Linked DNA regions of Oryzias latipes. The protein of the gene in region 1 purifies or fractionates together with the protein of each later gene. This does not show direct contact. Links are inferred from orthologs where the notes say so. Each region holds a gene or a part of one and is shown in the gene's direction. Other genes may lie near its edges. The genes, in order: beta-2 adrenergic receptor and usp33.

Evidence for each region.
Region 2: the proteins of beta-2 adrenergic receptor (region 1) and usp33 purify together in Homo sapiens (affinity purification with western blotting; 3 studies listed by BioGRID and IntAct, with this or other methods). This does not show direct contact. The link is inferred for Oryzias latipes from reciprocal best matches to the Homo sapiens genes ADRB2 and USP33.

What each region holds. Positions count from the first base shown.
Region 1 is NC_019868.2:20,753,497-20,757,787, forward strand, and holds the start of beta-2 adrenergic receptor, read left to right. Parts: upstream 1-1,290; 5' UTR 1,291-1,463; intron 1,464-1,722; coding exon 1,723-2,970; 3' UTR 2,971-4,291. UniProt on the Homo sapiens protein: Beta-adrenergic receptors mediate the catecholamine-induced activation of adenylate cyclase through the action of G proteins. The beta-2-adrenergic receptor binds epinephrine with an approximately 30-fold greater affinity than it does norepinephrine.
Region 2 is NC_019875.2:4,221,900-4,225,717, reverse strand, and holds part of usp33 (ubiquitin carboxyl-terminal hydrolase 33), read left to right. Parts: intron 1-238; coding exon 239-379; intron 380-584; coding exon 585-700; intron 701-931; coding exon 932-1,104; intron 1,105-1,199; coding exon 1,200-1,270; intron 1,271-1,357; coding exon 1,358-1,391; intron 1,392-1,504; coding exon 1,505-1,550; intron 1,551-1,636; coding exon 1,637-1,817; intron 1,818-1,958; coding exon 1,959-2,085; intron 2,086-2,194; coding exon 2,195-2,364; intron 2,365-3,818. UniProt on the Homo sapiens protein: Deubiquitinating enzyme involved in various processes such as centrosome duplication, cellular migration and beta-2 adrenergic receptor/ADRB2 recycling.

The sequences.
Region 1 (4,291 bases):
ACGAAACACCAGGTTTTGGTTTCTATGGTTGGTGTTAATGCAGGTATATAATCCAAAAAACGTCAAGCATCCTCTATTTAATCTCAGGAGTGGAACTGTCTTTGGATTTTTTCCAAACCACGTACGCTCTAATCTATCTAATGTGCGTAGAAGAAAATTATGCAATTCAAGATTTTGCGCAATTGAGCAAAAATCTTTGTGATCTTTAAGCAAAAAATCAGCGGTAAAAAACACATTACAACAGTCTCAAACATTTGCAAAAATCTTTGTTGTTTTCTTTTTCTGTAGTTTGTAAACCTTTTAAGACCTGTAACCTAAAAGGATAAATAAAATGTGCACGTTTATTGATACTTGCACATTTAATACACCTTCGAGAAAAAATACTTTAAAAAAAGGCTGAAGTACAAAAGTGTCACAAAAGATTAGGTTAAAGGGTTAGGATTGAGGGTATTGGATCATTTTATTACAGAATCATTTTTAAAAAGAGATATATTAACTTAAAAGAATTCAATAAGCATTGAAGACTTTCCGTGAAGTGTTTTTACGCATTCACAAACCAAGCAGAACTATCATTGCATTGTTGAAATTTGAATAAATGAGGTTTAGTTTGCATAGATCACATGTATGGAATAAATGTGGTCATAAAAGTGCAAATTTGTTCTTGATCCTCAAAGGCTTTCTTTTAGCTCTTGCTGTGAAGATCACTGCGCCTTTTACGTACCAAAACACTGAGGTCATTTTTACAGTTTGACCTTTGGATGTTAAAATGTAAGCATATGTTCTTGTATTGGCGAAGGTCCTGATTTTTATATAAAAGAGCAGCCTACAAAACTCAAAGGTTTTGTCAGGACAAGAAGTGTGTTAAAGCTCCAATCCAACCACTCAATAGATCTTGACAAAATTCACTGAGCTACACTTGCCAGTTGGATCACTTGTGAATCCAGCCTGATCTTACAAATGCTCAAAAAATGCTTTAACTAGTTTTAATTGGATACAGATTCACAAGCATGAAGCTGTAAACTCATACAGGAACATAGCATAACAGGAAGTAGACTTTATGACTCGAGCTGAAATACAGCTCGTAGATTTCAGTACAAATTTGCAGGTTTTTTAAATATGTAAATGTTTGCCTGTGTTGGCTGCCGTATGTCTCATGCAGCCCTGCAGCAGCAGCTGTTGGGACAGTGTGTTCAAACTCCTGTGAGCGCTCAGCACCCTCCACAGGCTAGTGCGCTGATTGGCTGAGCTCTGACTGTGATGTCACCATTGCATGCTATAAGGACTCTGAGACACATCAGAGGAAACACTGCTCAACGGAACGACTTGGTAGAGAGACAACTGGAGCTCAACCCGAACAAAAAGTACAGGGGCATGTGAGCCTTGCCAGTCTTACAGGAAGTATTTCAACACTGACATTCTGACATTTTTATGGGAGGCTGGGAGCAAAACAACGACCTGTCGAGGTTGGTATTTTTGCTCTTTCTTGACTCAACTTGTTTTTAAAGCATGGAGCCAAAAAGGTCGTTATGGCTGGTGCCTCTGCTGTGTTTTTTTTAATCTTTTGTTGCTTTGCTTGTTTTTTTGTTTCAGATACAAACATTCATGTTTTAAACTTTATTATTGCTGCATTTATTTAGTTCCCATAAGTTAGATACATGTTTGAATTGTGCACTTCCCCTCTTTTTACTGTGTCTGATGATTTTCTGCATGTGATTTCTTCAGATGGGAGTTACAGTCTCTCCAGTCTACTCGAATGTGAGCACTACGTCATTGTCCAACAACGAGACGGGCCACAACGAGATGGGCCTCAACGAGACAGGCCACAGTGAGACGGCTATGATCCTGATGGGCATCGGAATGTCTTTTCTGGTGCTGTGCATTGTCTTTGGAAACATCCTGGTCATAACAGCAATCGCTCGCTTTCAGCGTCTCCAAACTGTCACCAACTGCTTCGTCACATCTCTGGCGTGTGCAGACCTGGTCATGGGTCTCATTGTGGTTCCCTTTGGTGCTTTAAACATCATCTTCGTTAAATGGCACTTTGGTAAATTCTGGTGCGACTTCTGGACTGCCACAGATGTCCTCTGCGTGACTGCAAGCATCGGGACCCTTTGTGTCATCGCTATTGACCGTTACGTGGCCATTACTGCACCCTTCCGCTACCAGTCACTATTGACAAAGTGCAGAGCTCGAATTGTGGTCATCTTTATATGGGTGATTGCTGCTTTGACATCCTACCCGCCCATTCATATGAACGTGTGGAGATCCAATACATCGGAAGCTGAGAAATGTCTTAATAAAACAGACTGCTGCCAGTTTCACACAAACATACAATATGGAATCACCTCCTCCATCATCTCCTTCTACATCCCTTTGATCATCATGGTTTTTGTCTACAGCCGTGTTTTCCTGGCGGCCAAAAGGCAGCTAAAAAAGATTAACCAAAGCGTTGGACGCTTTCATGTAGATTCTTCGGAGGACAAGAATGGCCGTGGACAAAAGAAGGCAAAGTTTTACTTGCGTGAACACAAAGCCCTGAAAACTTTGGGTATCATAATGGGGACCTTTACTCTTTGCTGGCTACCATTCTTCATCCTTAATGTAATCGCGTCCATATGGAACGTGAACAACTATAGCGTATTTATGATTCTGAACTGGATAGGCTATTCAAACTCTATGTTCAACCCTGTCATTTACTGCCGGAGTCCTGAGTTCAGGTACGCTTTCAAGGAACTCCTGTGCATCAGGAGGAACCATCTGAGCCACCAAGGCCAAACAAATGGATACATCTACAGCAGGCACAGCTGGCAGAGTGAGCAGCAAGGGAGGAGCAAGTGCAACTCGGAGGACAGTGATGCCAATGAGGCTTGTCTGATAAAAGGTGCAGGGGTGGGCAGTGGTGTGGACAGAGCCATAGACCCCAATGGAAACTGCAACAAAGGTATAACGACTGTCACAACTGCCCTTTAAGCACGGACCACCGACCCTTCAGTCAACAGAGAAAGATGAAAGCCTATACACTTATGAACATTTAGGGCTTTTCTCTCAATCGCTGATTAAGGTAAGGCCAGTCAAAGTGGCTGGCAGTGTTTCAAAAGTGTTTCAGAGAACCTGCAACGATCACATCAAGCTGAGGAACATTTTTTTTAAGTTAAACATAGTGACTACATATTGTAATGTATTTTTTTTATTACATGATGACTACATCTACCTCCCTAACGGCTTTACAGTGTTAGTTTCTTTACCGGCTTACATTCTTACCTTTGGAGTTAAACGAGAGCGATGTCTCAGCTGTGTGTTGAGCCTAATAAATGGCGTGTGAATAGTACATTTGCAGATTATAAGGCTTCATCCAAAACCTTAGGGCATGCTTTATTTATTTTTTGCTCTTTCTTGAGGAGGGAAGCCACAGTTTTTTGTATGGTATAAAACTGTATTTGAGATTTTCCATGCGATTTTTCTTCCAATGCAAAGAATGGATTTTTGAACCAGTCTTGGTCTTTGCATCAAAAATTACATTCCGACAACACTTGAGGAATCTATTAAGTTGTAATCTTTTTTTCAGGGAGCTATATTGGCTACGCGTGAGGCAAAACACGTCTCAGTCCTGCTCTACTGTGCAAGACTGTGTTTAAAGGAGTTTATGTTGTCAGCAGAAAGCACAAGAGATATGGCTGGCTAATCTAGATCCTAATGCTGAGCCTAAGGAACGCCTGTAGCTGTTGGGTTAATGCCATCATAAAACATCAAAGCTTGTTTTATCAGATAACGAACCGTAAAATACCTATAATTTTTGGGAGGAACGCTAAGTGCAATAATATAAAACTTGGGCTGAAATGCTCACCGTTTTCATAAATTCAAACATTTCTTTTGGCTTGTTACATATACCTGAACTATGTCTATTTTCCACTTGTTGCAAATCTAAAACCACTTTTTTGTTACAAATAACAGTGAGAACGACGATTCTTTTTCTTCTGTGCGACAAATTTGAACCATAGTTGACCCATAGCTGCATGAGCCTTGTTTGTTTATCAGATTTTGCAGTTGCCATGTTTCAGTATGTGCACAGTTTACCGCAACCAGAGAAGCTGTTTCCTCATAGTGCAAGGGTACAGACAACACGTAATCATAAACAGGGTGTGAATGCAGCCAAATGACAAAGTTCTAGCACCAAGCCATAACGGTGAAGTCAGCAACCAGACAGAAAAAAGAAAAAATCCAAAGCTTGTATTCAGTACACTCATTGTTTTTATCTGGCTATCTCTTTTCTTGTGTGTGTAATCATTGTGCC
Region 2 (3,818 bases), on another chromosome or scaffold:
GATAAAGTCAAGTAAAATCATTGAAAGGATTATTTTTAATTTGTGAACAATCATGTTTAGCATTGAGGTTATGTATGGTTGTTAGGCTGCCTCCGTAGTGCAGACAAACCACAGTCATCCCACAGACATCCTCACAACAGTGCAGTATGTTCACCGATAACCTGACATTCCTGAGCGGCTTCTGGAGCTTTAGATCTCCAAAAGAAAATGAATTAAAACCCGCCTCTCCTCTCGCCAGAATGTTTTCCAGATATCCAGATGTCCAACTCAACAAGACCACAAAGTCCAGTCTCGATGGAGGGACACATTCCCAAACTGTCCAGCAGCCCGCCCAAAGCTGCCTGTGGCTGGCCGAGCCTGAACCCTTCTCACAAGAAAGGTACAAATCCCAGTGTGTTTATGTGTGTGTGTGTGTGTGTGTGTGGCAGAGGCTCAGAGGTGAACCTGAACCCTGCAATCAGTCAAATCTGCATTAAATGCTGGAAACTTAAGGACGGGTAAATGTAACCTCGTGTTCTGTCTTTTTGTCGACTTGCGTGCTAATCTATACATGTTCTCACATTTCTGCCTCTGTCCTCGTCCAGCTGTCACCACATTCTCCCCAACGAAGAGCAAGCGGCAGAAGAAGTACAGAAGTATCATTTCAGACGTCTTCGATGGGACCATCGTGAGCTCGGTTCAGTGCCTCACCTGTGATCGGGTTAGTGTTGTTACATCTCTACAGTCCTGCTGAACTCAAGTCTCAGTCCTGTTTAATGGGAAAGGGTCCGACAGTAGGGTTCTGTAGTTGTTTTCAAAGACTGCTCAATCATACTTGTGAGGTTTTGCTCCAATTGAAAGACTAACCTGTAGGTAAAACATTGCCGTGTGGAAACATCTTAAAGGTGAGGATTCCTAACGCCTTGCTGGCTGTGCGGTTTGTGTTTGTCAGGTGTCTGTGACCCTGGAGAATTTCCAGGATATCTCATTGCCCATTCCGGGAAAGGAAGATCTGGCCAAGCTGCACTCATCCACCCACCAGACCTCGCTGGTAAAAGCTGGCTCCTGTGGGGAGGCGTATGCAGCTCAGGGGTGGATAGCATTTGTCATGGAGTACATCAAAAGGTACGCATGTATGATAGAGGAACACAACCCTGTTCCATCTACAGCATGTCGTTGCTGCTGTTGGGGTAAATAACTCCTCTGTGCTTTTTCTCCAGCTGGTTCTGGGGTCCAGTGGTTACACTACAAGACTGTCTGGCTGCATTCTTTGCCAGAGACGAATTAAAAGGTAATGAAGTGCTGGAACAAATGTCGGTTTTGTCCAACTCAAATCTCTGGATTGATTTATCAATAACTGCATCTTTTTGTTTTCCAGGAGACAATATGTACAGCTGCGAAAAATGCAAAAAGTTAGTAAATGCAAAGCTTCATATTTACACCTCGCTGAACAAGAATTTGCTTCTAATGAAAAACAGCAAAGGATGGATTGAAGTGATTTTTCTCTTCGTTTTCTCCTCTTCAGGTTACGAAACGGAGTCAAATTCTGTAAAATGCAAAAGTTGCCAGAGGTGCGAATCATTTTGGATGTTGAAGCAGTTTTTTTATGGCCCGCAGTTTTTTTAAATCTACGTTGTTTTTTTTTGCTCTGCTGCAGATCCTGTGTATTCATCTGAAGCGGTTCAGACATGAGCTGATGTTCTCCACCAAGATAAGCACCCATGTGTCCTTCCCACTTGAGGGGCTGGACCTGCAGCCCTTTCTGTCCAAAGACAGCTCCGCCCAGACCACCAACTATGACCTGCTGTCCGTCATCTGTCACCACGGCACTGCCAGCAGTGAGTGGGCGCCGTCACTCCCCTTTCTTGGCGGAGAGCGGGGCATTTGCCATCCGTTGGCACAAATGCGCCCTGATGACATTCTTTTACAGGGATGGGTTTGCGGACGCTGCTCTTACTCTTCTCCCTGTCTGATCCCAGGTGGCCACTACATAGCGTACTGCAGGAATGACTCCAACAATCTGTGGTACGAGTTTGACGACCAAAGCGTGACCGAGGTGTCTGAGTCCTGTGTCCAGAACGCTGAAGCCTATGTGCTCTTCTATAAGTAAGCTGACCCCCCAGAATGAATAATTCAGGCTCTCGGTTATGTCTGAGACATTGAAATTCCCCGAGCTTCTTACAGCGGATTAATATATGAACTGTTTCTGTGACAGAAAGAGCAACGGGGACACCGTGAAGGAACGTGGGAGGGTGTCAAACTTATTCAACATGATGGAGCCCAGCCTTCTGCAGTTTTACATCTCTCGCCAGTGGCTGAACAAGTTCAAGACCTTTGCTGAGCCAGGGCCCATTTCCAATGATGACTTCTTGTGTGTGCATGGAGGTGTGTCGGAACTTTCCTTCCAATTGTCTTCTTTGCATTTTGGCAAAATGCAGCCACTGCTTTCATCCTGCTGAGGATTTTTGGTTTTTGACAAATCTTCTGTAACGTTCTCATAGCTTTAGCAGAGGTTCCTTTTTAACACTTGTGACTTATATTTACATTTGACATCTGGTTAGAAACTGCCCGAGTCCACTGTGCAACTTCTTTCACAAAGGTTACAGACAGAACTGAAGGCAAAGAGCAGCCCTGTGACTCCACGGGAACTAGACTTTCTTAATGTTCTCACTCTGGCTTTCCAGGGACCATATGGCCCATGGCAAAAGCTTAATGCCAAAGCACCTCTTAGTTTACAATCCCAGTAAGTGAAGTGAGCCTCCTCCAAGTTTACCCAACACACTTCATCCAGTCACCTCACTCAGTGAAATAACAAGTGTTATTTTTTAAATGATATTAGTGACAAACGACTAGTTCAACTTTTGATGTGAGACGCCATTCTTCCCACTGTTCTCGTGATCAGCAGGTTTGCTAAATCTCTCTCTCTTTTGTCTGATGCCTCGGCAAACCTCTCCACCACATTCAGGCGGAGATTCTTTATGCAGCTAATGCCTTTTTGGTCCAGACCAGGGACAGACGCCACAAAGGGTTTCAAACAGGGAGCTCTGTTTCCGGATAAAAAGGAAAAGAGTCACAGAACTGAAAATGACTGAGCTCTGATGAAAAACGGGAACAGAGAACGGTTCTGCTGAGGCTTTGCTGTAGGACAAAGGATGCTCAGTGCAGTCATACATATAGATTCAAACATAAATATGAATGGTAGCATATGGTTGTGTAGAGGGAAACTAAATGTGTTATTACATTTGCATGTCTCACTTGAAGGGTATTTACTAGGAGGGCACAGTTCTTGGTTTAAAACCAAACCCTGTGTTTGAACCGAATCATGGGGAAGGTTGCATCCCTACATCACTCTGTTTACGTTTAAAATGAGTGTTCTGCTAAATTCTATATATTTTAAGGGCCTGTGTTGTGCTATTCTTGAGCCTTTCTGAGTAAACTATTTCCATATATCTGATGGTATATTACCTTTGGCACACTAAAGAACAATTTTTTAAAAATACAAGTTACTTTTGCAGCTCATTTTCCTACACGGAAGAAAGACGACTCGATCTTTGAGGCTCCGCCTTGCGCTCTTTGTGGGTACCGCCTATTTCATGACGTCAACCTAGAGCCGGCCTTGGCAGCATGTCTGTGTTTCGCACATGAAAACAAACAACATCCAAAATATTTGAAAAGATGCATCTTCATTGAGTGCATATATGATAAGAGCTTGTAGCCAATCACCGCTAGTTCCACTGAGAAAGTGGGCGTGTGTGTTAGCCTGGGGGCGGGGCTGGCAGCGCAGACTCTTCCTGGAAGGGGCGGTTCCTCACTTTGGGATGTCACAATGGAAGAGCCCA